Linked DNA regions of Sus scrofa. The protein of the gene in region 4 interacts with the protein of the main gene of each other region in a pairwise test. Links are inferred from orthologs where the notes say so. Each region holds a gene or a part of one and is shown on either strand. Other genes may lie near its edges. The genes, in order: MKRN3, PNMA1, UBXN11, PSMA1, CCNH, TRIM23 and PNMA2.

The links.
Region 1: the proteins of PSMA1 (region 4) and MKRN3 interact in binary tests that used the Homo sapiens proteins (3 or more experiments, as listed by UniProt). The two-hybrid records come from large-scale screens. The link is inferred for Sus scrofa from reciprocal best matches to the Homo sapiens genes PSMA1 and MKRN3.
Region 2: the proteins of PSMA1 (region 4) and PNMA1 interact in binary tests that used the Homo sapiens proteins (3 or more experiments, as listed by UniProt). The two-hybrid records come from large-scale screens. The link is inferred for Sus scrofa from reciprocal best matches to the Homo sapiens genes PSMA1 and PNMA1.
Region 3: the proteins of PSMA1 (region 4) and UBXN11 interact in binary tests that used the Homo sapiens proteins (3 or more experiments, as listed by UniProt). The two-hybrid records come from large-scale screens. The link is inferred for Sus scrofa from reciprocal best matches to the Homo sapiens genes PSMA1 and UBXN11.
Region 5: the proteins of PSMA1 (region 4) and CCNH interact in binary tests that used the Homo sapiens proteins (3 or more experiments, as listed by UniProt). The two-hybrid records come from large-scale screens. The link is inferred for Sus scrofa from reciprocal best matches to the Homo sapiens genes PSMA1 and CCNH.
Region 6: the proteins of PSMA1 (region 4) and TRIM23 interact in binary tests that used the Homo sapiens proteins (3 or more experiments, as listed by UniProt). The link is inferred for Sus scrofa from reciprocal best matches to the Homo sapiens genes PSMA1 and TRIM23.
Region 7: the proteins of PSMA1 (region 4) and PNMA2 interact in binary tests that used the Homo sapiens proteins (3 or more experiments, as listed by UniProt). The two-hybrid records come from large-scale screens. The link is inferred for Sus scrofa from reciprocal best matches to the Homo sapiens genes PSMA1 and PNMA2.

What each region holds. Positions count from the first base shown.
Region 1 is NC_010443.5:142,498,169-142,502,117, reverse strand, and holds the start of MKRN3 (probable E3 ubiquitin-protein ligase makorin-3), read left to right. Parts: upstream 1-1,149; 5' UTR 1,150-1,276; coding exon 1,277-2,773; 3' UTR 2,774-3,949. UniProt on the Homo sapiens protein: E3 ubiquitin ligase catalyzing the covalent attachment of ubiquitin moieties onto substrate proteins.
Region 2 is NC_010449.5:97,049,058-97,053,326, forward strand, and holds PNMA1 (paraneoplastic antigen Ma1), read right to left. Parts: upstream 2,801-4,269; 5' UTR 1,961-2,800; coding exon 899-1,960; 3' UTR 93-898; downstream 1-92.
Region 3 is NC_010448.4:83,711,716-83,715,744, forward strand, and holds the start of UBXN11 (UBX domain-containing protein 11), read right to left. Parts: upstream 2,801-4,029; 5' UTR 2,677-2,800; intron 2,668-2,676; exon of another isoform or gene 2,466-2,667; intron 1-2,465. UniProt on the Homo sapiens protein: May be involved in the reorganization of actin cytoskeleton mediated by RND1, RND2 and RND3. Promotes RHOA activation mediated by GNA12 and GNA13.
Region 4 is NC_010444.4:44,738,910-44,742,901, reverse strand, and holds the start of PSMA1 (proteasome subunit alpha type-1), read right to left. Parts: upstream 2,801-3,992; 5' UTR 2,667-2,800; coding exon 2,664-2,666; intron 883-2,663; coding exon 838-882; intron 279-837; coding exon 177-278; intron 1-176. UniProt on the Homo sapiens protein: Component of the 20S core proteasome complex involved in the proteolytic degradation of most intracellular proteins. This complex plays numerous essential roles within the cell by associating with different regulatory particles.
Region 5 is NC_010444.4:95,015,692-95,019,766, forward strand, and holds the start of CCNH (cyclin-H), read right to left. Parts: upstream 2,801-4,075; coding exon 2,684-2,800; intron 650-2,683; coding exon 527-649; intron 1-526. UniProt on the Homo sapiens protein: Regulates CDK7, the catalytic subunit of the CDK-activating kinase (CAK) enzymatic complex. CAK activates the cyclin-associated kinases CDK1, CDK2, CDK4 and CDK6 by threonine phosphorylation.
Region 6 is NC_010458.4:44,108,292-44,111,791, forward strand, and holds part of TRIM23 (E3 ubiquitin-protein ligase TRIM23), read right to left. Parts: exon of another isoform or gene 2,646-3,500; coding exon 2,516-2,645; exon of another isoform or gene 2,036-2,515; coding exon 1,925-2,035; exon of another isoform or gene 1,499-1,924; coding exon of another isoform or gene 1,460-1,498; intron 450-1,459; coding exon 325-449; intron 1-324.
Region 7 is NC_010456.5:10,425,590-10,429,719, forward strand, and holds the start of PNMA2 (paraneoplastic antigen Ma2), read right to left. Parts: upstream 2,801-4,130; 5' UTR 2,661-2,800; intron 1,926-2,660; exon of another isoform or gene 1,777-1,925; intron 691-1,776; exon of another isoform or gene 489-690; intron 1-488. Other genes in the region: DPYSL2 (dihydropyrimidinase-related protein 2), read left to right, coding at 3,160-3,513.

The DNA.
Region 1 (3,949 bases), on a different chromosome or scaffold from region 4:
AATCCAATAATATATAAAATTATAATAAATCATACCACAAAAAGGTTTTTCTTGGAATAAAAAATGGTAAGTTAAACAGTTAAAACCTAGCAGTGCAAATAATCACAACAACAAGACAGGGAGAAAATAATATGATAACCTCTCAAAAAAATGCAGAATACTACATGATAAAATTCAGTAGCCATCCATAAATATGCTTTATATTTGAGAATTTACTTTTTTAACCAATATAATAAAATGCACTTGCAAAATTAAGAGGTACCGCTTACAGGGCATAGAATATGCTATGAAAGGCTGGTCTAACACAATACCACACAAAAAAGGATGAAAGAAGGGGAAACAAAGAGCCACTGTGAGTCAAATTAGCAAGAGAAAATAAAGGCTAGGGTCACAAAGGGCACAGGGGCTAATTAAGCCAGCATCAAGCCCACTGAAGTCTGCTGCTTCTGCACAGAGGGAGGGAAGCATTAGAAATCACAATAACCTAAGACAGCTGACAGGCACTAAAGCAGTCACAGATCACAAACGCTCCCTGCTAATGTCTCACAGGGGAAAAAACGTTTCCAACAAAAGCCGGTAAGAATTTCCAGAAAACAAAGAGCAGTCTCAAGTCTTTTCAACACAACTAAAGGGATTAAAGCTGCTAGCAGGGAAAGTCAGGAAACCCATAAATAAACATGACAAAAAATACGACCCACACAGACATAAAATGGAGTGAACAAACAAAGCATTTATAAAATTTATGCACGAGATGTTTCAGAAACAAGACACCCTTTTAAACATACGGGGCTTTAAAACAAACGAGGATTAGACGCTTTAAAGAGAGATGTATGAAAAAGCATTCAAATCACAGTGTCGGAAGGAACAATGGAAGCGATTGAATTAAAACCTCAAAAGGCTGGGATTCCTTTCCCCAGGAGAGACGCGGGGGAGCAGGGGCTGCGTGCAGAGAAGCGGAGACGCTGCTTGAGCCGAAAGCGGGCAGCGCTGCTGGCTGCGAACAAAGAAGGAAGCCGGTCAGCATTCCTGACGGACCGATCGGACCGATCGTGCAGAAGTGATGTAGGACCGATGTTGCCTCCACAGGAAGTGTCCGGCGCTGCCAGAGAAGGAAGTAGGAACACAATTACAGGAAGTAGGGACCGGGGGAAGCAGAAAATAGATGCACACTTCCTAAAAATCAGCCCCGAGCTAGCGCCCGGCCTCCGGGCCTCAAGGCTGACACAAGGAGACACCGGGGTAGTTCCGGTACCATTTCTGGGGAGCAGAAGCTGCCATGGAAGAGCCTGCAGCTCCCACAGAACCCTACGAGGCAGCTGGGACATTTGGGGACATCGAGGCAGCCGGGGAGATCAAGCCTTGGCCCACCCTTCCGGTGCCTCCCACCTCCCGGTGGTCTCCGGCTCCAGGCCCAGCCCCCTTCCGTCCGTCACGTGTGAGGCCCGCCCAGGAGTCAGGGGGAGGGGCTGGGCCCAGATGGCTGCCGGGCCGGAGCAGTGGCAGCTGGACAAAGGAAGTGGTCTGCAGGTATTATCTGCATGCTCAGTGCAAGGAGGGGGAGAACTGTCGATACTCCCATGACCTCTCAGGGCGGCAGGTGGCCAGGGAGGGCCCCGGTTCACCACCCCCAGCCTCCACAGACAGTGGCCCCAGCGCGGCTGCGCACGCCGAGGCCCTGCCTCAGGAAGTGGCGGAAGCCCCCCCGGCTGTGTCCTCACGCTCTTTTCCTCTGATTGGCTCTGCTGAGAGGGTTTTCTTTGAAGCCGAGACTGAATATGCAGGCCTTGAAGCTGCGGGAGGAGCAGGTGCGGAAGGCTGGGAGCATGCCATTGAGTTTGTTCCCGGGCAACCGTACCAAGGCCGCATGGCCCCTCCTATCTACGTGGCTCCTCCACAGGGCTTGCTGACTGTGAGGGAGCAGTTTGCCTTGGGCCAGAGGCAGCAGCTTTGCCGCGATGCTATCATGGGGCAATGCTTTCGTGGGCCAAGCTGTATGTATCTTCATGGAGATATGTGCGATTTGTGTGGGCTGAAGGTCTTGCACCCCTTTGATGGTGCTCAGAGGGCAGACCATAGAAGGGCCTGCATGGAAGCACATGAGCAGAATATGGAGCTCTCGTTTGCCGTGCAGCGCAGTGCGGACAAAGTGTGTGGCATCTGCATGGAGGTGGTCTATGAGAAAGCCAACCGGAATGATTGCCGCTTTGGCATCCTCTCCAGCTGCAACCACACCTACTGCCTTAAGTGTATCCGCAGGTGGAGGAGTGCCAGACAGTTTGGGACCTGGGTCGTCAAGTCCTGCCCCCAGTGCAGAGTCATCTCCACCTTTGTCATTCCCAGTGAATTCTGGGTGGAGGAGGAGGAAGAGAAGCAGAGACTTATTCAGCAGTACCTGGAGGCAATGAGCCACAAGCCCTGCAGGTATTTTGTAAGAGGCAGGTTCTGCCCATTTGAAGAGAACTGTTTTTACAAACATGCCTTCCCTGAGGGCCAGGGAGAGGAGCCCCAGAGGCAGGGTGCTGGGGCACCCGGTCCTTGGCGTGGTCAACTTTTGGAGCCTCCGCAGGTGGGAGAGGGCGACATGCCCTTTAAAAGCTGTAAAAAAGAGCTTGTCATGCTTTGGCTGGCCAATCTGTTGTGTCAGTGTTTTCTTTCATGGGGAGCTAATGAGCTCCCCTGCTCAGAGACCCAGTGGGACTTGCTTCATTGTGAGCTGGAAGAATATTTCAATTTGAATCTGTGGCATTCTGTGGCATGTTGTATGGTGTGCTGAGGCTCTGTCATCTGCTCTTGCCTGTGTTGTGTTTATAGACACATCTGTCACTTACAGAAGCTGCTGAAACCATTTGTTTAGAGCATCCATCTCTGTTTTCTTGCCCATTCCCATTTCTTTGCCCCTAGGGTTATGGTGTTTCACTGTGCTAAAAAGTCACAAAACATCCTTAAAGTTATTGTTTGGTGAAATTAATATGACTGTCAGTTTATGGTTTATTTTGTCATCTCTGTTTTCAACAGGATTGACTCAGTTCTAGTCTAGTGTTTACAGAATGTCCACACTCATTTTGAAGCCCCTCAAGAATAAATGTGACAGGGTGAAGGGAGAAGTCTTAACTGAACAAGGAGCTTTTTGCTACTTCAGCCTTAAGAAATCGACCCTGGAGGGGCCTTGTGGTGCAACTGCTTATCTCTGTTGTTTACACATTTGTTGCTTCTCATCCCTTTCAAGTGCACTCTTTAACTTGTGGTTACCTTGTGGTTTTGTGTTTTACTTGACCAGAACCAAGTGCATATGTTTACATGTTTTTATCCTGTTTAGCTTGATGTGAAATTATTTATATTTGGAAGTAATATTTAAGAATTATATATATGCATATTAATGTGTGTGAAAGCGATATATTTGAGGATAAATATAAAAGATATACACCATTTTATTATGTTTATGTAGTACATACAGAGCTAGAAGCTGAAAGTTAAAGGCTGATAAGATTTGATGTTGGGTGAATGTGAGGTGTGTGAATAATTCTGTCCTTTTCACAGGCTTCTGTGATTAGCATCTAATGAAAGCAGCTATTTCAGTGTCTCTAGCCAATTGTGATCATAAAGAATTTACAAAATACCAACATTGGTAATTCCTGTGATGGAATTAATAGCTTACCCTGCTGTTACCAATATAGAAATGTGAGTTCCTGTGCAGTTTAGACACCATCTCATTATTCTTTATAACAGCACAATCCTGGACTCAGATACACATTCTTTGTATTCAGTATTTTGTGTGATCTCTAGATATTCCAAAGAAGGGGCTTGTGACAAAAGTTTGCAACATAAAAGCGACAAGATTGTAAAAGATAAAGTAGACTAATAAGCATATTGAAATCAGTCAGAATGCAAGCATGGAAAGATAAAAAAATACAGAAAAGTAACAAAAGCTAAGTATGATAGTAATTTGGAA
Region 2 (4,269 bases), on a different chromosome or scaffold from region 4:
GGATTTTTTTAGTGATGGGGGAAATCTTCCTGAAAAAATGAAGATACAGAGCTTAATTACACTGAAAATTTTTATATGTTGCAGAAAAATAAGAGAATTTAAAAAATATTTTTATTAATATACATGTATTTGATAACTTCGAATTTAAAACATTTAGAATCAGCATGAACATGGTAAACTACTCTTCAATGACAAAGATTTGAAATGGGGGAATAGATGCTGTAACTGGTTCCTATTAACCTCCCCATGCATTTTATATCTGCATCTTACACAGTGAAAACTTGATTTACACAGCCCTGTAAGCGCAGTATCGTTCTAACACCCCATTTTGTAGTCTCAGAACACTTTTCAATTAAACTGATCTAGATCTTTAAAGATGTACAGTAAGAAATCTGCACTGTAAAGCTGAATAATACCTTATTCACATTTCTTTCCATTAATATAAACCAGGAACAATTTACGGTAGACACAAAAACTATTCACCACAGTTAAGAGTAAACAGTTGACATTTTTTACTGAACAGTTCTTTTGGTATCCAGGCCCTGCACTCATTATACATCTGAACATGCAATTTCATATTTAATTACCTTGATGGGAAGAGTCACGAGACCACATTTTTCACAACCGATGATGGTGCCATGATGATAGCTTGCAATGAGGACTCACGTCCAAGCCTTTCCCTGGCATTGTAGCTAGCATGACCCACGAGCGCTGCAGCAGATCTGGTGCTCCCCTGCACGATTGTGCTAATGACACATGAATACCCAGGCCGGACTCCCGCCCAAAAACAAAAAACACCGCTTAGTCTTTACTAGCAGGAGACACACCTGTAAGACATCACAGAGACAATGAAAGCAGCCGTGATCTAGGTCTGAACTAACGCCCCCTTTCCTGGGACTCAGAAGTGCCCCTCCAGGCCTAACTGCAGGAGGGCGGCCTCAGCCTCCTCCTCCTCTTCCTTGGCCTCCTCCTCGCGGATCTGCACCAGCAACTGGAAGAGGTTGGGGGCCGGCCCTTCAGCAGCCCCGGTCAGCCACAACTGCCTTCGGATGGCTCCGCTGTGATTGGCCCCGGCAATGACCTGCTCCAGGCGGGCCTGGTTCACGTTATCTTTATCTATGGCCCCCTTCTCAACCACCTTCTGCAGCAGAGGCTCCAGACGAATCACATAAGCAGATAATTTTTCTCCCGGGTTCTGGTATGTGTTCAGAAATCTCACCTGCGCATCCCTAGAGCTCTCGACGCTCCCAAACACCTGCTCCAGCGCCTTCAGGCATTCAGCGGTGGTAATCGCAGGGTTGTTGGTCTTGAGGATGCGGATGACATCAGCGGCAGGGCCTCTAAGGCTCTCCATCAACCGCCGCCTCTTTTCTACATCAGGCACCTGCCACTCCTCTATGACCTCATTAGTGTGCTCCAGCCAGGGATCAAATGCCTCCTCCCCTGGCCCCGGAATGTCCCTTCCCGAGAACAACGTCAGCTTCTTGTACCATATGGACTCAACCAGAGGCTGAATAACATTATCCAAAATATAGTTTAGCATCTCTGCCGGCATTTCGGGGCCTGGGGCCGGAGTGGGGTTCTGAAACCCAAGGACACGGGCAACATCTTGCACGGTCCACCCCTCTCTTGCTAGGAAGAGGTGCAACCTTTCTAAAAATTCAGCATCGGAAGTGGGGGGCTTAAAGACTACTTTCCAGACCCCTCCTTTACCTGGCATCTCCCTGGGGATCGCAGCATAATCGACAGCACCAGTGAGCTCTAACAAGGCTGCTTTGGCATTCTCTTCCCTCCAGAACATTCTCCCAAGCACTCGATAGGGCACCTGGGGCATCGCAGCTTGAAAGGTCTCTTCGATTTCGGTCTCATCACAGTTCACAGGGATCCCCCAGACCAGAAGGGCTCTCTGGGAGTTCACATCCATCCCCCTACACCAATCTTCCAGCAGTGTCATCGCCATTTTCCCAACTATCAAGGGCCCCAATTCTACAAATACAATTAGACTGTGGCTCCCTGTGCTCTAAAACTGAAGACAATAGCAGACGCTCCCACCGCCACCTCCCCCCATATGCCCGAGGGAGTCAATCACGTTTAACAAACGACACCAGTGTCCTGCTCTCCTCTTTTCGCTGCCCCTCAAAGCCAGGCCTCCGCGTTCTCGGAACGAAGCCTCGGGGATGCTCAGTCACATGGCCATCGCCATCTTGTGTCTCCGGTCGGGATCCGCAGGCCGGGTCCTCCACTTACAGGAAGGTGTCGCGTCGGAGCGCAGAGGCGAGGAAAAAAGGCGGGCGGCGAAAGCAGGAGCCGCAGGGCTTGATCGCGGGACGTGGCCGCCTCTTCGCAGCCTGGGCGCCAGGCACTCGCTGCTGCTCCCAGAGGGTGCAAGCTTTCGTTGCCAGAGCGGAGCACGCCTCAGACGAGCTAGGAGCCGCTTCTCCGCAGACAAGAACTAGTACCGCCCCCGGAGGGAAAGACTGTCCTAAGGGAAAGACAGCGGCGGCAGCGAGGCCAACCCGAGAGAGCTTCTTCGTGGGCAAACGTATCCCTCTGGGCGGCGAGGACGCCAAGGACCAAGAACACAGGCAGCAGAGGCGCAGGAAAGACGCGGAAGCCAGGCTAGAGGAGGCGCAGGCGCAGTCGCAGGCAGGCCGCGGCAGCCCCGCACGCAGGCGACCGCGGGCCGAGGTGGGCTGGAGCTGCACAGTTGTACCTCGGTCCCACCCGCAGCCAGCCTAGCCTTTACTGCCGCAGTGGAGGGCGGGGCCGGCCTTCGACCCGCCTCGCCCCGCCCCCCGCGGCCCTGCCCGCGCGACCGTAGCCACGGCAACCACCGACGCGAGACGCCGGAGCTCTAGCGGCCTGCAGGGGCGAATGGTTGCCATGGTGGCAGCTCGGGGCCGCGGGCGTTAATTTCCTTTACCGCGCATTTCCTTTTTCGCATTTTCCAGATTTTTTTTTTTCTTAACAAAGCACTGTGTTTAAAAGATAATATAATTCTGGAGTGGATTTAAGATGATATCCGGCCGTCAAGAAAGACTTGTCTACTCGCGTCGCTCGTTCAGAGGCAATGCTGTATAATACCCTGTACCACCTGACTGCACTCTGCACCCTCTAAATTTTATCCCAGTGAGTTGAGACTTCTTCTTGTCTAAAATGTTGTAAAAAGATCTAGATCTCTATGAATAGTAACCCGGCAAACACTAATGTGTTATTTCCCCTGCCCTGGCATCATGGATAAAACAGGCCTTATGGTTCAAAAATGTCAAGTATCCTTTGGAAGCAAACCAAGGCACACTTACAATCCCAGATGGTGAGATAATAAATCTTTCCCCCAAAGGACACAGAAATCAACTCTGAATTTTTAAAACCTTATTTAATAAAAGGTTTAAAGATACAGAAGAACATTCAAAAGTAAATAAGTTACATAGGTACATTACAATCACATCAGCAAGATTTTCTTTAGTGTGTTAATTTTTTTTTTTATAAAAAGCACACAAAAAATAAAATCTTCCGTCTGGTCTATCACAACTGTACAGCAAAAGAGGTAATATTTATATATATGTACACTATTTTAATATGTAACAGTCTTTTAAAAAAGGGTGCCACAGGCAGCAAACACACAAAAGGCAGTGTCTGATTTTTTCAAAATAAAAGGAATATACTTATTTATATGCTATTAAAATATTTGTACAATAATTACAGACTATCAAGGCTGTTCCTGTGCTCTGTCCCCTCCAACAAGGCCTTTGACTAAGAGACAAATGAGGAAAAGGTGAAACAGCTGCAAATTGTTAGTTAGAGGCAAATATTAATACAGCAAAATATGGGGAGGACATACAATTGTTTTATAAAAATATGCATACTTCCTGTAAACCTAAGGAGTTAGGCTTGCCACTGGTAATAAATACCATCTGAGAAAACTGAGCCCCGGTAAAAACATATTTAAACAGCTGAGGCTTGTGTATGTGTTGTATTCCTCCTTCATCTTAACATCTGGCACATGAGAAGAAAGAGGTTAGGTCATTGAGGCAGTTAAATATAGGGGATCCCTTTAGACATAAGCAGCACACGACCTCTGTGCCAGGGGTGGAAGTGGAGTAGCCAAAGGGATAGGTGTGTACCTTAGCTGTGACAGGGGTTGCTGAAGGCATGGAGGACAGTGTCGAAGCCCTGTCTCCTTGGGTGGCTAAGAGACCTCAGAAATGGTCTAGAACACAGGCACTAGGTTAATCTCATGCCCTTAGCTGAGTGTAGCTGGAGGCTGCG
Region 3 (4,029 bases), on a different chromosome or scaffold from region 4:
ATCAACTATACTTTAAGGTAAAAAATAAAAATAAAAAATGCAAGAAACCCCCAACTTTATTGAAGTATAATTCACATACTTAACTCTTTTTTTTTTTTTAATGGCCACATCCTGAGCCACTATGGTTGGATTCTTAACCCACTGTACCACAGCAGGGATTCCAACTCTTTTAAAGTATATAATTCACTGGTCCTTAGTGTATTCCGAGTCATGAAACCCCCATCACAATCACCACACTCAAGTCTCAGGCACTGGGCCTTTAGTGGCTGAGACTGCCCTGCATGAACTTTCACCAGACCTGATTATCTTTCTCTTCTCTAAATTCTAGTCACCATAATGACCCCTCAAAAGAAACTAGTCAAAAAAACAGATATTAACCAACACTGGCAAGGATGAGCAGGGAAACTGGAAACTTTGTTTGAATATAAAATGGCACGGCTGCTGTTTGGCAGTTCCTCTAAAGGTTAAACACAGTTATCTTGTGGCTCAGCAATTCCACACCCCAGGTATATACCCAAGAGAAATAAAAACGTACATCCACACAAAAATTTGTATATCAGTTCAATAAGTAGCATTATTCATAATGCTGGAAACAACCCCAAGTGTTCATCAACCAATGAATGAACAAATGTGATATATCCTTGCAATGGAATACTATCTGGCAATGAAAAAGGGATGAGGAGTTCCCGTCGTGGCTCAGTGGTTAACGAATTCGACTAGGAACCATGAGGTTTCGGGTTCGATCCCTGGCCTCACTCAGTGGGTTAAGGATCCGGCGTTGCTGTGAGCTGTGGTATAGGTTGCAGACGCAGCTTGGATCCCGAGTTGCTGTGGCTCTGGCGTAGGCCAGCACGGCTACAGCTCAGATTAGACCCCTAGCCTGGAAACCTCCATATGCCGTGGGAGCGGCCCTTTTAGAAAAAGGAAAGAAAAAAAAAAGAAAAAAAGAAAAAGGGATGAAATCTATGCTACAGTATGAATGGACCTTGAAAACATATGCTAAGGGAAAGAAGTCCATCACAAAAGACCACTAATTGTTACGATTCCATTTATATTAAAGATCCAGAGTGAACAAACCTATAGACACAAAATAGATTAGAGGTTGCCTAGGGTTGGAAGTGCTAAGGAGAGGTGGGGTGTGCATGTGTGTGTGTGGACTGCTGAAGAGTATAGGGTTTCCTTTGGAACTGATGAAAATGTTCTTTTTTTTTTTTGTCTTTTTGCTATTTCTTGGGCCGCTCCTGCGGCATATGGAGGTTCCCAGGCTAGGGGTCGAATCGGAGCTGTAGCCACTGGCCTACGCCAGAGCCACAGCAACGTGGGATCCGAGCCGCATCTGCAACCTACACCACAGCTCACGGCAACGCCGATCCTTAACCCACTGAGCAAGGGCAGGGACCGAACCCGCAACCTCATGGTTCCTAGTCGGATTCGTTAACCACTGCGCCACGACGGGAACTCCTGATGAAAATGTTCTAAAATTGACTGTGGTGATGGCTGCACAATTCTATGAATATACTAAAAACAACTGAAATTTACATTTTAAAAGGGTGAAGTATATAGTATGTGACATATCTCAATAAAGCTATCACAGGAAAAAAAAGGGACCTGGCCTCCAAGCCAAACCCATATCTTCCCTCAACATAAATTCCTCCCACTTCCTCCTGCTTTTTTTTTTTTTTTTTTTTTTGGCTTTTGTCCTTTTAGGGCCACACTCTGGGGCATATGGAGATTCGCAGGTAGGGGTCTAACCCGAGCTGTTGCTGCCGGCCTACCCCAGGGCCACAGCAACGCCAGATCCCAGCCGCGTCTGCAATCTACACCACAGCTCATAGCAATGCCAGATCCTTAACCCACTGAGCGAAGCCAGGGATCGAACCCACAACCTCATGGTTCCTAGTCGGGTTCGTTTCTGCTGTGCCACGACAGGAACTCCACCACGTTCTCCTTCTTAATGAGAGGCAAAAATTTGACTCTTTTCCCTCTTAATTCTATCCTACCCCTGCAGGGTAAACTCTGCATTTCTCTCATACATAGCTCCTTTTTTTTCCATGGCCACTGTTGGCCATCCTAGAGTGGGGCTCTCACTGCCCTTCTCTGGGACTGTCACAATGGCCCCAAACTGACTTCCCAGTTTCCAGTCTCACTCTAGCCCAACACACTGACTCCGGATCGATTTCCCCATGGATTATAGAGGACCCCTACGGATGACAACTGTATCCTCCCATCAGCCTGGGGGCTCCTGAGCGCAGGGCTGTGTCTTTTCCCTCAGACTGGGGACCCTGAGGACAGAGCCACCACTATTGCCTTCACTTTGGGGCGGCTAAAATTTGGGCTTTGTATTACGCCTCTTTATTTTGGGGACCCAAATTTGTCCCTCCACGGGCCTCTGTGCTCTACAGCGCCAACACAGACCAGCCAGCTGCACGCCTTCATTCCCCAAATCTCCAGCTGGAAGCGCTCACCTAGCAACTTCTACCACCAGCTCCGCCCAGGGAGCCGCGTCGCCACCTCCCCCCTCCACGCGCTGCCAAAGTAGGCGGGGGCCTAATCTGCTCCCAGAACGCTGAGGGCCCGCTGATCCGCCGGGCTCGCTTGTCCTCGAGGCTCTCTGTGCTAGGGCCCCAGCCTGCGTTGGGGGCTCTGCGGGCAGAAAGGTCCGGGGCTGGAACTCACCACGCAGGTCGGCCGAGCCCCCCGCGGCGCCGCCATCTTGTTGTCACGCGGTTTCCCAGGCAACCAGGACCAGTGCACTTCTCATTGGCTAATACGTGGGGTCCTGAGCAACCAGCAGGCAGCGGAGGAGGGTACAGCCTTCTGTACTCGAATTCTATTGGCCCACAGAGTCTAAACTCCTCGCGGGATACATGCAAATCCCAGAATCCACCGCTCTGCGCGGACTCTGGGTTTGGGGGAACGGAGGGTCTATTTGTTACCACCCCAAGGCACTGAAAGTGGAGGGCCTGGGGTTGGATTCACGAAGCCATTAGAAGTCGCTGGATCCATAGCTGTAATCCCGACAATGTTGTTTTGCTAAATTGATTTGGGGAGAAATTACGTTTCTCTGTTTTCTCGTCTGATCAGTACAGTGCTAAGGGGGAGTTCTTTGGAGTATGAATTGACATGATGCAAGTAGTTAATAAATGTTTCTTAAATCTGAAAACCTCTGTTAACTTCTTGACCAAATGGTGCCCTAAAGGGGCGCTCAGATTCTATTTCCTTTGTGTAAAAATTCAGGTAAGATTCCCCCTGCCTTCGGATAAAACACTTTTTTCTTTTTGTGACTTTGGGTGAGACATTTCCCCTCCTGAGCCTCACATGAAAAAAATAAGGTATTGGATTAGAGCAACAAAAGGTGATTTAGTTAAGAGCATGGACTTTGGCCTTTGGAGTCCAGGCCCCTGACTTGTGCGTCCTGGGGCAAGTTATTCACCTTAATTTCTTCTGTAAAATGGGGAGAATACCCACCCCTATAGGGTTGTGTGAGAATTAAATGAAATAATGTATGCAGAGTGCCTGTCACAATAGCTATACAGAGTAAGCTTTCAAAACATTTCCTGCTTTTAACTACCGTTATCTCACAACCTTCCACCTGTGATACTCTGAGAGTCTATGCCTTGGCTCAGCTACCAAAGCCCTTTTTCTGCATGTCTCAACCACACGTAGTATTTTCCATTTGACTCTAATCTACTGCATTTAGGAGAGAGCAGGCTCCTTGAGGCATTCTTTACACACCAATTGGAGAAGGAGGGGAACTACCAATTAATGAGTGTCTTTCAAGTGCCCACTGTCAGCATTATGAACTTTACAGCAGAGAAGACTGAAGCTCAGAGAAGTGAAGTGACTTGTTCAAGACCATACAGGTAGAAAGCAGCAAAAGTCGATGCTAATCTAGACTCTCTGCCTCCAGAATCTGTGCTCTTTCTAGAAGCTCCCACTTAAGTAAAACATGCAAGCAAAAATAAGCCAGGGTACAGGTGGTTCAGGTCCATGGCCAGGGGAACAGTTCAAGTGGAAGGTGTGACTGAA
Region 4 (3,992 bases):
GTCTGTGACCTACACCTCAGCTCACAGCAATGCCGGATCCTTGACCCACTAAGTGAGGCTAGGGATCGAACCCACATCCTCATAGATACTAGTTGGATTTGTTACCGCTGAGCCACAATGGGAACTCCCAGTAGCTCTTTTTTAAAAGAGGAAGATATATTTATTGCTTTACTTACCTTCAATGCAACCAGCACTGCATGGGTTTTTGATTTCAGACCAACTGTTGCTGAACCTTGTTTGACGGCTTCCATTGCATATTCAATTTGATGAATCCTGCCCTAAAAAGGAAAAAAACCCAATACACCTTAGAGTCATTGTACAAGACCCTTTCATGGATTTAAAATTAACTTAGAGGGGACGGGGGAGGGAGTAGGATGGACTGGGAGTGTGGGGTTAGTAGATGCAAACTGTTACATTTAGAATGGATAAGCAATGACATCCTACTATATAGCACAGGAAACTATATCCAACCTCTTGGGACAGAACACAATGGAAGTAATACAAGAAAAAGAATGTGTATATATATATATGGATGATTGGGTCACTTTGCTGTACTGCAGAAATTAGTACAACGTTGTAAAACAACTATATTTTTAAACAATTATATTTTTTAAAAATGACATAAATATCCCCATATGATCAAATGCAGAAAAAAAATTAACTCAGAGATCCCAAATTTCAGGTAAGAATAGCTAAACCTCAAACGATGTTCTTTAAAACTAGGAAACTTACAGGAATGTCTAAAATGATTATATTTTCTCACAGCATACTATCCAAAACATTTTTAAGTTGCAGCCACCAAAAGCAACTTTGTAGAAACAGTATAAAACATTTTACCTGAGGGCTCCAAACAGTGACATCATTGTCATACTGGTTGCGAAACTGAAAGTAAATGAAAAAAAATCTGTTAATACAAGAACATTACAAAACCCAAATCTTAACAAGCTCTATCACTCAAAAATGTTTTCTGGAGTTCCCATCGTGGCTCATTGGTAACAAACCCAACGAGTATCCATCAGGACAAGGGTTTGATTCCTGGCCTTGCTCAATGGATTAAGGATCTGGCATTGACATGAGCTGTGGCATAGGTCAGATTCCAGCTGCTGCTCTGACTGGACCCCTATGGAACTTCCATATGCCTTGGGTGCAGCCCTAAAAAGCAAAAAAAAAGAAAATAATAATAATAATAATTTTCTAGTCTATTTCCATCCAACATTAATGAAAGGTTGTTACTGCAACCTCATTGGAAGATTTCTACTGTACTTAGTTGCAAGCCAATTTTACATTTACAAGGAGCTTGTGAGGGAGGGGAGAGCAGAGCCAGATGGGACCTATCTTCCCAAATTCCAATTCTACCACTGTCCATTGCACTGCCTTTGAGTTCAGTCAATTACTAAAGTTCCTATGTGTCCACTCTCCTTTCTATCTTTGGCTTATTCTCTTCCCTGATACCAAGACCTAATACGATCAAAAGCATTCCTTTTCCTTGGAGTGCCTGTCGTGGCTCAGTTGTTAACGAATCCAACTAGGAACCATGAGGTTGCGGGTTCCATTCCTGGCCTTGCTCAGTGGGATAAGGATCTGGCGCCTCTGTGAGTTGTGGTGTAGGTCGCAGACGAGGCTCGGATCCTGCGTTGCTGTGGCTCTAGCGTAGACCGGGGCTACAGCTCCGATTAGATTAGACCCCTGGCCTGGGAACCTCCACATGCCGCGGATTCCGCCCTAGAAAATGCAAAAAGACAAAAAAAAAAAAAAAAAAAAAAAGCATTCCTTTTCCTTAAATACCTCAAATGTCTACCTCTTGAAGCCTTCTCCATCTTTCCTCCCCAAATCCCAACACATACTCCTACCATTCCTTTATCTACACCTTTTTTTTCGACCTTATATTACGATTAGGGACGTGTCTGATTTATCTTTGAACCTTCACTGTAGTTAAAACAGTGCATTTAAAACATTGTTATAGAATGAGTACACACAAGAATGTCCCCAGAAAGTCAGAAGTGGACACAAATAGCCACAGAGACGGACCCATTACAGCTTTAAAGACAGCTTAAAATGAGTCTGCCAGCACAGTACTTGGGAGCCCAATCATTAGGGTGAGAAGGCTGACTGCTGGAATGGTAGACATAGGACTGGAAGCTCTGAGCCCTATATTGTAACCCTTATTCTATCACTTCTATCAGCTTCAGTTTACTCTTTCATAAAAATACTTAACTGGATAAGTGACTGAAAAAAGGCCTTTTCTGATTGAGCTCTAAAAGAGAATTGAGCTCTCAACTCTGCTATTGGCTATACAGGGAGATTCCAAAAGTCAAATCCCAATTTTTCCTTTCTCTCACACAGAGCACTAGGGGCCCCTCTGGACCGCTCGGAATCTACTCGACTGAAGGAAACTGAGGGGCGAACTCGGCTAGCAGACCGAGGAGGTATTGTTCAAGGCCGGATGGAAAGCGAAACAAACCCAGGGGAAAGGCCGCACCGACTACCGACTTCCCCTGTGCCGGCCAGGCCAGAGATGCTGAATCACTCCAGAACCCCCCATCGGCTGAGGTTCCCATGTCCCATAGCCCCGGCCCGCTCTAAGAGTGACAGAGAGATCACTCGCCAACCCCCAGCCAGCGGGCCTGTGCCCCAACCCTGTTTGAGCTCGGAATCCAACGCACCATGGTTCCGGCGAGAGCCTAGTCACGGCCTCCGGTAAACCTGCAGATCAAGGAGCGCTGCCGAAACTACCGCTCGGCGATCTGCAGAGAAGTCTGCGGGACTATGCGTCGGCGCAGGGTAGAGCAGTCTATTCTAGAGATAGCGATAGGCTTCCGGCGCTTCCCCGCCCTCAAAGCTCTCCGCCCGCTCGGGAGTGGGCGGGGCCTGGGAAATCTGAGAAACTCACATTGGCGGGAAAATTTGGGCCAGGAACGCCCGCGGGAGCTAATAGTCGCTGGGTGGCCACTATCAAGTCGCCTTTCTTGGATCCTCAGAGAAGTTACCTGTGAGCTGTAGATTCCTGTCAGTTTCTCACCGGCCCGGCCGGATGCACCCGAGATTCCTGGTGTACTGCTCAGCCTCTCATTCAGCGTCCACAGAGATTTGTGGTGTTGGGTAGCGAGAAGAACAGGACTGCAAAAAAAGACCACAAATAATGGTCCATTTCTTCGTGTCAACGGTACTCTTCCTGGAGTATCTTGTTTCTGGACATGATTTTCTTTCTACTTTGGAATCCTTTTCCTTACTCCTTATTTTCCAGGCGTTGTTGTCACTGATCACTATCATTATTATCAGACTTTAAACTTTTTGAGGGCATTAATGTCTTTGCCGTCAAAACCAAGCACGATGCCTGAAAGAATAGGCAACTGAGGGACATCTTCTTCCGAAATAGGTATTTTCCTTTTTGCGAACATCTTTTAGTAAATTCTCAGAGAAAATAGTTTAGGATAGCTCTACAAACAGCTGCCAACCTAAAATTTACTGACTGCCAATGATGAGTTCTTTTCTTTACGAAGAAGAAAGGATGAGTACCTAGACTCAGGTAAGAGTTGAAAGGGGTCTTTAAGGATCTAAGCTTTGTCAATGAAGAGACTCAGCTCCCTTAAATGATTTGTTCAAGTTAGAGCAAGTTGGTATCGCACTTTAAAAACCTTGTCACATGTATTTTGGACACTTTTTTATATTAAAATTTTTCTAGGTTAAACAAGATTCCCGATATTCTGCATTGTGAACATATGATATTTTATTTACCGAAACCCCCATTGTTTAATATTTAAGTTTAATATTTAAGCCCTCTCCTGGAGCTCCCTGTCTGGCTCAGGGGGTTAAGGATCCACATTGTCCTCGTGAGGATGCGGGTTAGATCCTTGGCCTTCTCAGTGGGTTAAGGATTTGGCGTTATTGAGAGCTGCGCTATAGTCCCGCAGCTGCAGCTCCGGCTGGACCCCTAGCCTGGGAACTTCCATATGCCACAGGTGCAGCCCTAAAAAAAACCAAAATTATCCCTC
Region 5 (4,075 bases), about 50 Mb from region 4:
CTCAGAACCATACATGTGAAACAGCCACAAGACAAGTTTCACCCAAAAGTAAACCTCCAGTTTCTACTACTCAAGGTTTAAAAAATTACAGCATGACTTTTGGCTGGGGCATAGGATTACAGATGATGAATAAATGCATTATTTCACATGTGTGTGAAGAGTTTAAAAAGCACTAGTCCATGGGACCATAAGGTAGGAGTTATAATGCTCACTAATTGAGAATCTGGAGGGAAAGTAATTTGATTTTTTCTTTTTCTATAAAATGAGGATATCATGATCTATGTATCAGGCCTTAAAATTCTTTTGATATGAAATGATTCTTGAAACACTTCTGAGAGATACAACATAGGAGTTCATAATTTAAGGCATTTATGAAAAATGTATGTGACAAAAACTTAAATACATAAATTATATATTTATATAACAAAAGTATATTTTGGAGGAAAGTAGATAAGAATTAAATATAATTGATCAGATTTCAGAAATTAGCTAAATGACATTATACTTCACCACTACAATAACTTACCACAACAGACCTTGGCATTGCTGGCTTAAACACTGAACAGAATTCCAATAATCTTTTCTCATAGTATTTGCAGAGTATCATTTCTTCATGAGGCTCAAGAAAGATTGGGTCATTTGGAAGAACCTTTGAATCAAAAATTAGAATAAAAATGTAATGAATTAGATAATCTTAAAAAATTTTTTAATCTTAAAATATTTTTCTTTGTCCAGATTAAATTTAGTTTAGAGATCCAACCAAAAGGAAATATACCATATTTTTCCTTTATCAGAAAATTGCTAATATTACACAAAATAGCTTTTAAGAAAATATTTAATAAACTACACCATAACTGCATATTTTCTCAGTATGTCAGCTGAATATCTGCCTCACTAAGGTACAAGCAATCATGAGGAGCATGTGTATATGTTCATAGGTTTGATGTCATTATTTATAAATCAATAAAGATATACTGTCAATGGCTGGAAAACTTTCAATATCCCTCAGTCAGTTATTAAATCACACGGGTTTGAGTAAAAATCAACAAGTGTCACAAGGATAATTCTGATCCTTAACACTTTATCTCTTTCCTACCTTTGTAAAATCTCTACAGACTATACTTGATAGTTAATAAACACTACACATTTACAACAAATATTCATTTAATGCTATTAAGAGTTTAATTAGGACTGCCAAAAAAAGTGTTGATTTCTAGCCCCCAGTACCTCAGAAGGTGAGGAAATAAGATCTCTGCAGATTTAATTAGTTAAGATGACGTCACACTGAAGTAGAATGGGCTCCTAATCCAGTATGATTGGTATCTTTATAAGTAGAATATGTGAGGGCACAGAGACACATGGAGAACATTTTGTAAAGATGGATGTAAAGATTGGAGTTAGCTGCTGCAAGCAAAGGTACACCCGGGTTATCAGAAGCTGGAAGAGGAAAGGAAGGATCCTTCCTAGAAGCCACAGAGATTACCACTTGGCTAACACCTTGACCTCAGATTTCTAGCCTCCAGAACCTCAGACTTCTATCCTCCATTGTTTTAGACAATGAATTTCTGTTTTAATGCACCCAGTTTGTGGTAAATTTTTTAAGAGCAGTCCTAAGCAACTAACACAGGTTCTAACTTTAAAGACAGCACAGCCTTGTGGTTTACTGAAGGAATGCTGGAACGAGATTCCAGGGGTTCAAATCCTGGCTCTGTCACTTATTAGCATATAGCCTGAGAAGTTATTCAACCTCTCTGTACCTCAGTTTCCTCAGATGTAAAGCAAGGAAAACAACAGTATCTACCTCATGGAGTAGTTGTGAGGGCTGTATGAGCTCACACATACTAAATACTTGAATTTTGCACAATATGTATTACTTTGTGCAGCACAAAGTGATATGAAGTAAGTTGTGAATTATAGGTAAAGGTACCTCAGTACTCAGAATCAAAACAGGTCTGACACAGAAGCTAGAATGGATGGTGGTGTTTTTTTGGAGCTTGTGAGCAAAGATTAAACCGAAGAGGAAGGAGAACAGGAAGGACGTGGCTGGCAGGCCACAGTCCAAACCATCTCTGTCTGGTCAACTGGTTCATGCTAACGGTCTCTTGTCCCCCTGCCTCCACCATGCCCCATCCAATCAATCCATTCTTTCCCAGAAAGCTCGTTCTACAACAGAATCTAACAGGGTTAATTTCCAATATAAAATTTCACAAACTTTAAACTCTTTACTTCCATTTACGAGTCCCCTGTCTACCTTCTCCAGCCTTTCATGCACAGGTACTCAGCTTCCGCCACACAGAACCATGAGCGTTCCACGGACCAGCCCTGCAATTACTGACCTTCTACTTTGCACTTGTGGCTCTGTCCACCTGGAAGGTCCTTCCCCCATCTTCTCCACAACAGCTGATGAGAAAAGTCCCTCCCCTCATTATATTAGCATCCTACAAAGTGTATTCTTTGCCGTTACTGCTTTTTTATCTTTCCTTCACTTGACTGTAAGATGGATAGTTTCGTCTGTCCCTAACCCAGAGCATCCGGCAGAGTGCTCGTCGTTTACTAAATAAACGCACTCTGCACTGAGAAGGCAGGGGCAGGTAGGAAGAAGGTGTGCAGGGAGTCCTGGCGGAGGGGGACGGGCTAGAGCTCGTAGAGACCTAGGTAAGGGGCCGGCAGCGGGAGCTCTTACCTTCCCATTCGCCACTGCTTTGCATCTGAATTTGCGGTTGGCGTCGGCCCGCAACCGGGCTAGCTGCTCCTCACTGGCGAAAGTCCAGTGCCGCTTCTGGCTACTATTGTGGTACATACTTAAGTTGGAGGCCAGGCCCAGAGGGCCTTGAGCGAGGACCGCGAACTGCGCCGCACCAGAGTGGAAAGCAGATAAGCCACAAACCAAGACCCCTGGGAAGCCGAGGGAATCAGGTCCGCCTGGCGCGGGCGCGTTGACGTCAAGGTCACGTGGTAATCCCCTCCGCAGTCGCGCTTCCGGAGCGGAAGAGGAGAAGAATGTCTCCGCGCGGGATCGCTGGCCCGCTGCCCACGACGCAAGTAGGCGTAGCCTGTAGAAGGCTCCTCCTCGCTTTTAGCCTCGGTCCTAGCTCCGCCCTTCCCCACAAGATTTAAAGGAGAAGCGACAGGCAGGGTGTCCAAAAGGGAATAATTTGTGGCTATGTTGAAGCTAACATAAGCAATTCACGTGGGATAAGTGAAGTGTGGAAAGGACGTGAGAGGGTGTCACCTTTTAAATAGAATGTTCAGAGGAGGTCTCACTGAGGTGACATTTGAGCAAGGACTTGAAAGAGTCGCGGAAGTACCAATCATGTAGCGGGTGATATTGGAACAGATGGAACAGTCAAGGTCCTAGGGCAGAAGCATTCCTTCCTTCCGTTTTAAGGAAGAACGTCTGGGGCGCTAATTGGAAAACTAGAAGCAGTGCAGGAGTATTGTCCTTCACTGTTGTGACACGTATGTGTCCCTTTCTATTATTTTCTGTGCCTTTTTTCTTCTGCTTCTGTTGATGACTAGCCAATCCTCTCCCCCATTTCCATCTCTGAGGCCACAATGTATGGTAGTGGTAATTTTAGGGTTTTCTTGAGATTCCCATCTTTATTATTGCCCTCAAGGGAGCCTTACAACAAGCTGTTATTAAACTTAAGATTTTATATCTATCTATATATATGTAAAACTAATGCTTTCAAAATTGTTTTTGAGATACAGAATTTACATTGATCACATAAAAGTCTTTACTGATTTTATATTTGTCCCATTTAGGCATACCTTCTCCTGTGCATCATACATTGTGTTAGAAAGGATGGATTTACTTACTGTAAGTTGTTTTCCTAAAAATAAACATTAAAAAAGCACATAAAGATAGTGAGATTCAGAAAGTTGAAAAGGTCTATAGGTAAAAAGAGGTTTCATGGTATCTCTAACTCTGCTTTCAATGAAAATATTTTTAAAGCCTTATGAAAGAGAGAGTTTTTTTCCCCCCTTTTTTGTTTTGTTTGGGTGGGTGCAGTTGAAGGTAGACTTTTACAGTTATTTGAATTTCTTGAACTCACACCATTTGTAGTTTATAACC
Region 6 (3,500 bases), on a different chromosome or scaffold from region 4:
GACCTACACCATAGCTCACAGCAATGCCAGATCCTAACCCACTGGGCGAGGCAAAGGATGGAACCCATGTTCTCATCGATACTAGTCAGGTTCTTTTCCATTGAGCCACAAAGGGAACTCCTACATAGGAGTTTCTGGTGAGCATCAACTACTTTATTTCTTTTGGTATACTCCAAGGTACCAAGTACAGCACTTTCCATAAAGATTGTACTCAAAATATAGAACAGAAACTTTGTAAATATCTAAATGATTTCTCTTGAAATAGTAACAGCTACCTATAATATGGAATACTAAAATAAGTATTCTGAAATACAAATGTGTCACCTGTTTGTTAGCAAAAATCAGGAGCAAAGCATCTCGGAGTTCCTTTTCCGTCAACAACTTTGCAAGTTCACTGTGTGCTTCACTAACTCTGTCTCTGTGACTGCTATCAACAACAAATACAACAGCTACCAAAAGAACGTAAAAATGTTCAATTAGTCACTTGTTAAGTTTCAGCAAATGGACCAAATATTTTAATGTTCTCATTATGATAATCTATGATCATTTTCACAGAAAGGCTGCCAATTATAGGAGCACCTAGCAATAATTAATGATATGATCTCAAGTAGTGAACATAACTTTTCAATTGTTGTTTCCCAACCTATAACAGGATTTACAACACTTGCACTACCAAATAGAAACTGCTGTTCATACCATTTAAAATTTTTTTCTTAATGAATGAAAATGCAGCTCTCCTGATCTACTTGCTGGTGCTACTTCTTCGATTATTACTTCATTTACAAAAAGTCTTTGCTTTTTTTTTTCTTTTTAAGACTGCACCTGCAGCATATGAAAGTTCCCAGGCCAGGGGTTGAATTGGAGCTGCAGCTGCAGCCTACATCACAGACACAGCAACACAGGATCCAAGCCACATCTGTAACCTACACTGCAGCTTGCAGCAACACTGGATCCTTAACCCACTAAGCAAGGCCAGGGTTTGAACCCGCATCCACACAGAGAAAATAGCAGGTCCTTAACCTGCTGAGCCACAATGGGAACTCCAAGACAGTTTTTTAAAAATAAATAAATCACCATCTTTATCTCCCCAAAGTATTCTCTGTAGGTGCCTGTAATGGCATGTTCCATAGATTAGACTGAAAATACACAGATGAAGCTTCATAAATAGATACTGAATTAATTCTCTTTAAAATATTTCCAGCTTCCTCCTGTAGCTAAACATCCCAGACTTTCAACCATTCTTCATACTCAAAATTCCCTTTTTTCCCCCTTAGTCACTTGCTCATACTAAACTTAATATCAAAAATCCCAAAGTAAAAATTATCTAGTCTTTCTTCTAGGTGGAAAATAGGATGATATATGAACATAAGTTTCAGGAGGTAAAGCATAAAATGAGGCCCAAATGCTAAGTGGAATATATGTGATATAACACAATTTGGTCAAAAGCAAACCACTTCAGGTTCTTCTGCAGATAACAACTAATTGTGAATGGAAATGAAGGAGTGGAAGCTATTGAGAGAATATAATGGAATTGAACTGAATAGAGTAACAGAACTATACCCCACAAATTCTACTCTATACGACAATATTGCCAGTGATCATGCTCATATGAACATTAATACTAATCTTTGTTAAAAGCAGCAAGAGGTAAGTATGCTTAACTGTCTACATATATAACATAAATATGGTTGTTATGCTATAATTATGCTTTTCATGAAATAACCCAGAGTACATATCCCAGTTTTTCTAATTTTCTTAATAATGTTACTAATTTTCTTAATAATGCGGTGTCTGCTACAAATATATAAAGGTATAGTTACATATTTAATCAATGCTAAAGCATCAGTTTTATTACCTAATCAATGCATTGAAAACTGGCATCCTAAAAATTTGAAAAATTATAATGTAACTCTTATACTCTTACCTTGGGTATTGAGGTAATAATGTTTCCACAATGGTCTTAATTTGTGTTTTCCACCTACATCCCAAATGGTGAACTTTAGATTTTTATATTCTACAGTTTCCACATTAAAACCTGTTTTTAAAAAAAGTTTCTTTAATACTAAACTTATATTTACAATGAATGACACAACAAACACAGGCAACACCATTTACAACTGTAACTTACAAATTATCTTCATACAACAATATCTACTGCTGCCCAACTAACTCCACTCCTAATAAGCATACATGAGGAAATTAATACCTTTAACCAGAGCTCTTAGGACCTTGACACTGAAGTGCCAGCTCTGCACCACTACCACCTCCTCACCCCAAATCCTTAGCCAGTCATCAATCCTTTATTCCTTGCAACTGTACCACCAATATTCTGTTCCTTCTTACTATCCCTCTATCCACATTTCAGTTAAACAGCCACTGAATATTCCATTTTTTTCTCCATGGCAGAGCCATTCTCCACAGCAGACAGGCATAAAATAAGGTCCTAAGAACTCAGCTATAAGCTAGAGTTTGTATGTAAAGTGTCCATTAAAGATAAAGCAATACTCATACTTACCAATTGTTGGAATAGGCTGCATAAACTCATCCTGTTTTAATTTAAACAAAATAGTAGTTTTTCCAGCACCATCTAATCCTAATGTGACAACTCGAATTTCCATTTTTGGTCCAATGTGAACTCTATTGTCCTATAATTTTTAAAAAATTTAATCTTTTTATTTTGTTATGGAGTTAAAAGTATTAGCACTTAACACTTTTATTTACAAAAAACTTCTGTTAATTATTTGTCTCCTACTCATTCCTCAATCCATTAAAATCAGTTTAAAATACCCTGATTCTGATATTCTCAGAGGAATCACTCCTCATTGCTTTGCTAAATCTTGGCTTAGTAAAACTTACTACATACTTTGTTTTAATACAAGTTAAAAAAATATACACATCCACTTCTTTATCCCAGATTTTCTAGCTCAACTGAATCTTCTTTAAATAAAATTTTTATGCTGAGTTAAATATATTAATTAAAAATGAAAAGTGATGCTCATTTCCCATAAATATCCACTGTTAACAATTTCATGTATGTCCTTCCAGACACCTTTCTGTGCACACATTGGTTGACATACATAAAACAAATATACTTTAAAAAAAAAACATATTTCAACTAACTTTTCACAATTAACATTATGGAAATCTTTCATTTCAAAACATACAGACATACTTTTCCTTTCAATTGCTTCATTATATTCCATAAACCACAATTTAACTAATCTCAACTGAAAGATACTAGGTCATCTCTGATTTTTTGATATTATAAATAATGCTGCAATGAACATACTTGTATATATTGCTGCATGACCTCTCTGCCTCACTTCTCCCATCTGTAAAATGGGGAATGAAAATAGCACCAGACTTATATAGGATTATTGCATATATTAATTTTTAAAAAGACATGTAAAAATCCTTAAAACACGTAGCCCATAAATGCTATATAAATGTCAACAATTATTTTACTTCCTCATTTGTGCACTCTTTTTGGCTTTTGTGAT
Region 7 (4,130 bases), on a different chromosome or scaffold from region 4:
CATTTCTTTGATTAAAAAATCCAATCAGAAATCACTCAAACATTTAAAACCAACTGAACACAGGTATAAAATATAACATATAATACACTTTAATATAACATTATAGGTAAAATTTAATATAGGTTTAACAATTAGAAAAAACTTGTAGAACCAAATAAGTTAAACTTGGAATTATGAATTCCCTATGGTTATGCCTGGTCAGGTTTTGAAAATGCACAAGTAGGGGCCTTTCTTGCTATAAATGTTTCATTAGTAACATGATGCTTTCTTCATAGCATCTGAACTTGAATGGGTGATTTGAGGACAAAGAAAAATCGAGGAGGCACATCTGTGGTGAGCCGGTGGAGACTGAATAATGTAAAAAGGGAAGACTGTCTATCATCCCGTTGCTGTCATGCATCGTGGAGTGTGTGTTAAGGTGCCACAACTATTTTTTCCCTAAAAATCTCCATCACTCCAAATGGGGTCCATATGCCACAGATGCCAACCTGCAGCTACAGTGGCAGCTGTTCTTGCTGCAGGCACATTTCCTGAGTCCTTCTGGAAGGTGCTGAAAGTGGGGCATGTGCCAGAGGGTCAGAAGGGCAAAATGCTGGATCACGTCCTTGCCCTGCAGCCCCAGGGATCTGAACCCAGGGACTTCATCATGCCTCCTGTTCCTCTTCTAAGACGTGGGAGTGACCTTCCTCCCTGTTGCAATAGAGGAAACATAAGGTGGAAAAAGACACTGGGTACCCAGGAAGAAACAGCTCTAAGGTCTACATAATAATGGTCATGCTGAAGTTAGGCTATCTTTGGGTGTCTTCTTCTTCCAAAACCAGTCTCTACCTGCAATGCAACCTACCTTCAAGTTAAAAAAAATAAAAAATAAAAATAAAAGGCGAGTGAAACATTCCTGACACACAATAAAGCCACAGATGGAAATATTTGAATATAGGGGAAAATGTGAAAATCTTGTCCTTTCTCCTATAAAGACAGGATAAGGTCAAAAAGGAACCAGACTTCCAGGTGGAAGACCTCACTGGAATTGCTGGATCATTTAACTAGACAGTTACCTTGGGCAAAGCCTCTACATCTGTTTTCTACCCTGGAATCCTGGGAAGTGGTGACAATGAAACACTCATCTCAGGGGGCTGCTGGCAGTAGGAAATGGCGTGATTCGTGTGGAAGCATTTTATTCAAATGTGAAGCACATCTGGTGCTCAGTCCAAATGCCTGCCTCTGGTTCTCTCATCCCCTGCACATGTAAATTCCTCTCTCCTCCCTCCTCCTCTCCTTCTCATCCCCAGATGCCTTCCCACCTATCATGGTGGGCTTATCTTCAAACTGGGACTGGTTGTCCTCAGAATTTAACTCCATTTACCAAACTATCCATCACAATTGGGAGAGGCAGGGTATCCACATTTAACCCTTCCAGGGGTGAGGGATGACAATGGGATCGGATCTTTGGTTACTCTGCCCAGCAACGACACTCCTATGGTAGAGTGTTTTCCAGTCCAACCCACCCAGCTTAGTGAGCATGCCCAGAGCTCCTTCTCCAGCAGCCAAAGGATGGGCATCATTTCTGCAGGATTTTGCCACTGAAGAGAGAAAGGCAGGGCTGTAATCAATCATGGGCAGGGACTGAGACGTGGAAAGGACAGAGGGATAGGTGTAAGTAATAAAGAGCCCTCAGAGACTGTGTTACTGGCATACATTAAAATGCCCTCTGGATGCCCACTAAACCGGTGGTGGCTGTGGCTAGTCTACTGGCGCATGCACACCATGTCCCCATACCTCATTCTCCTGCTGGATTTCACACAGTTCTTCACTCATCACAGCTGGCACCCCATCTCCTTACCCTGCACTGGCCGCGCGCGCAAGAAGGCCTCAGGCACGAGGCTTCTGGCAACCTAGGAAACCCCGTGGTTCTGGCGCAGTGCGCAGCAGGGCGGGGAAATGAGGCGGGGCGCCCTGGGCGCTGGGTAGGGCTGGAGATTTGGGGAGTGGGCTTCAAAGAATGTCTTTCTCCCTTCTTTGCCGGGTTGGGGGCGGGGGAAGATGCATTCTGCTGGGCTTTTCTTGGCGCTGTGGCGCAATTACGGTATACGGCGCGCCAGTGTAGCGGTCTGCTCCCTCTCTCACTATACATCCAAGTTGCCGCGCTGGGCTGGAATTTGCAGACTACACTCTTTGCTACACTCCCACAGACCGTGGACCTATGTCTCTCTCTATATATACCGACTTCCTCCGCATTTGCTATGCCTCTCTGCATTTCTCTCCGCCACGCTGCGCGCCCCCCACCACAGTGGGTATAGTAAATGAGGAACTTGTTTCAATCTCTGCTCCCAGTAGCCCACCAAGGCCAATGGATAGACCGCGCCCTATATGGCCCCCACCACTCTGCGCAGCCTGCGCCATCCTTTCTCCGTCCTGAGTGCCGCCCCTTACCTTCCCGCTGAGTGTCCTGAGTCTACCAGTTTCTGCCCCTTTTCCTATCCATTAGCTCGCACTCGGGTAAGGGGGAGGGAACCCTCCACACAGTGGGCCCTCGCCCCTGGGCCAGCTCTGCATTGCGGTGGGAGAGAGGTGCCTGGGCCGGGCAGTTCGGGGAGAGGGGAGCGGGGGCCTGGGATGGCGCCCTCGGATCTTCGCCCCAGCGTGCCCTGCCCCATACTTACCCTGGGGCCGAGAGCGGTCAGCGGGCTTTCTGCTCCGCATCCATTAGCCGGGGGTCTGGCCGCTTCACTTCCGGAGCGTGGGGTCTGGGCGGCGCGGCCCTCCCCAGCTTCCCCAGCGCTGAGCTCCCCTCCCCAGCGCCGCGCCCCGCCCCCGCCCCGCCCGCGCCTCCCCCCACCTCCCGCCGCTGCTGGTAACTGGCAGCCTCTCGGTTCTTGCTGCCGCAGCGGCCACCCTCCCAACCCCAACTTTGCCGCTCGCGGGAGCTCGCGAGGCTGCGGGGGGCGTGGGCAGGGAGGGGAGAAAGCGGGGTCAGGGGGAGGGACCGGGAGGGGTGGGTCGCTCGCTCGCCAGCCCTCGTTCCTTTCTGTACACCTTGCGGTAGGCAGAGAGCAGCAGCCGAGGCAGCAGCCGGGGGGGATTTTTGCACAGAGACAGGCAGACTTAGGGACCCGCTGAGGAAAGAACGGACAGAGAGGACACTCCCCAAGCCCCCAAGCCATGGCAGAGAGGAAGCAATCCGGGAAGGCGGCAGAGGACGAAGAGGTCCCTGCCTTTTTTAAAAACCTGGGCTCCGGTAGCCCCAAGCCTCGACAGAAATTCTGTGGCATGTTCTGCCCGGTGGAAGGGTCCTCGGAGAACAAGACCATCGACTTCGACTCGCTGTCGGTGGGCCGGGGCTCGGGGCAGGTGGTGGCTCAGCAGCGGGACGTCGCCCACTTGGGCCCGGACCCGCAGCCGCCGTACTCCCGGCAGGGTCGGCGCGCCGGCGGGGAGCCATCTGTTGAATCGGGCCGGAAGGTGGAGATCCGGCGGGCCTCCGGTAAGGAAGCCCTGCAGAACATCAACGACCAGGTTGGTATGGAGGAGGGGCGGAGGTGTTCGAGACAGGACGGAGCGTGGGGCTCGCCCCTCCCTCGCGCCCCTTCCAGCTCGGTGAAAAGCCGAGGATCCCAGCGTGCCCACCGTCCTGCCCCACCTCGAATATCGCTTCCCTGCATGTGCACAAGCACCCCACCCTACCCGCCCCTTCTCCGTGCAGGGTTCGGAGAAGCTCGGGCTGGGCGGTGGGCGGCTGTGCGCCCACAAAGGCTCCCCGCGCTTCCCTGGGCCTGGGTGGTGGGGGTAGGGGTAAAGGATGGGCCTATCCCCGGCTGGGGGGTCTCTTGGTTGGAGGGGGAGGGGATGGGCCGAGGTTCCATTCTTCTTAAATCCTCCCGGGCAGCTTCCGATTGCAGCTGTGTCTGGCTGCCCCACCCTTTTTTGATGCAGCTCAGAGCGTGCAGTGGAGGGTTCGCGTGAAGGCCGGCGGGTTCCCCGGGGGTCGGGAGGGGCGGGGGCCTAGACGACAGCTCCCCGCCGCGCCCTGCGTACACTTCCAGCGCATCCCCTCTGTCGTCCTCCGCTCTCGCATCCCGAGCTCGGAGGCCAGGACCATGGTCAGCGCCTCCTCGGACTGCAAGCGAGAATCT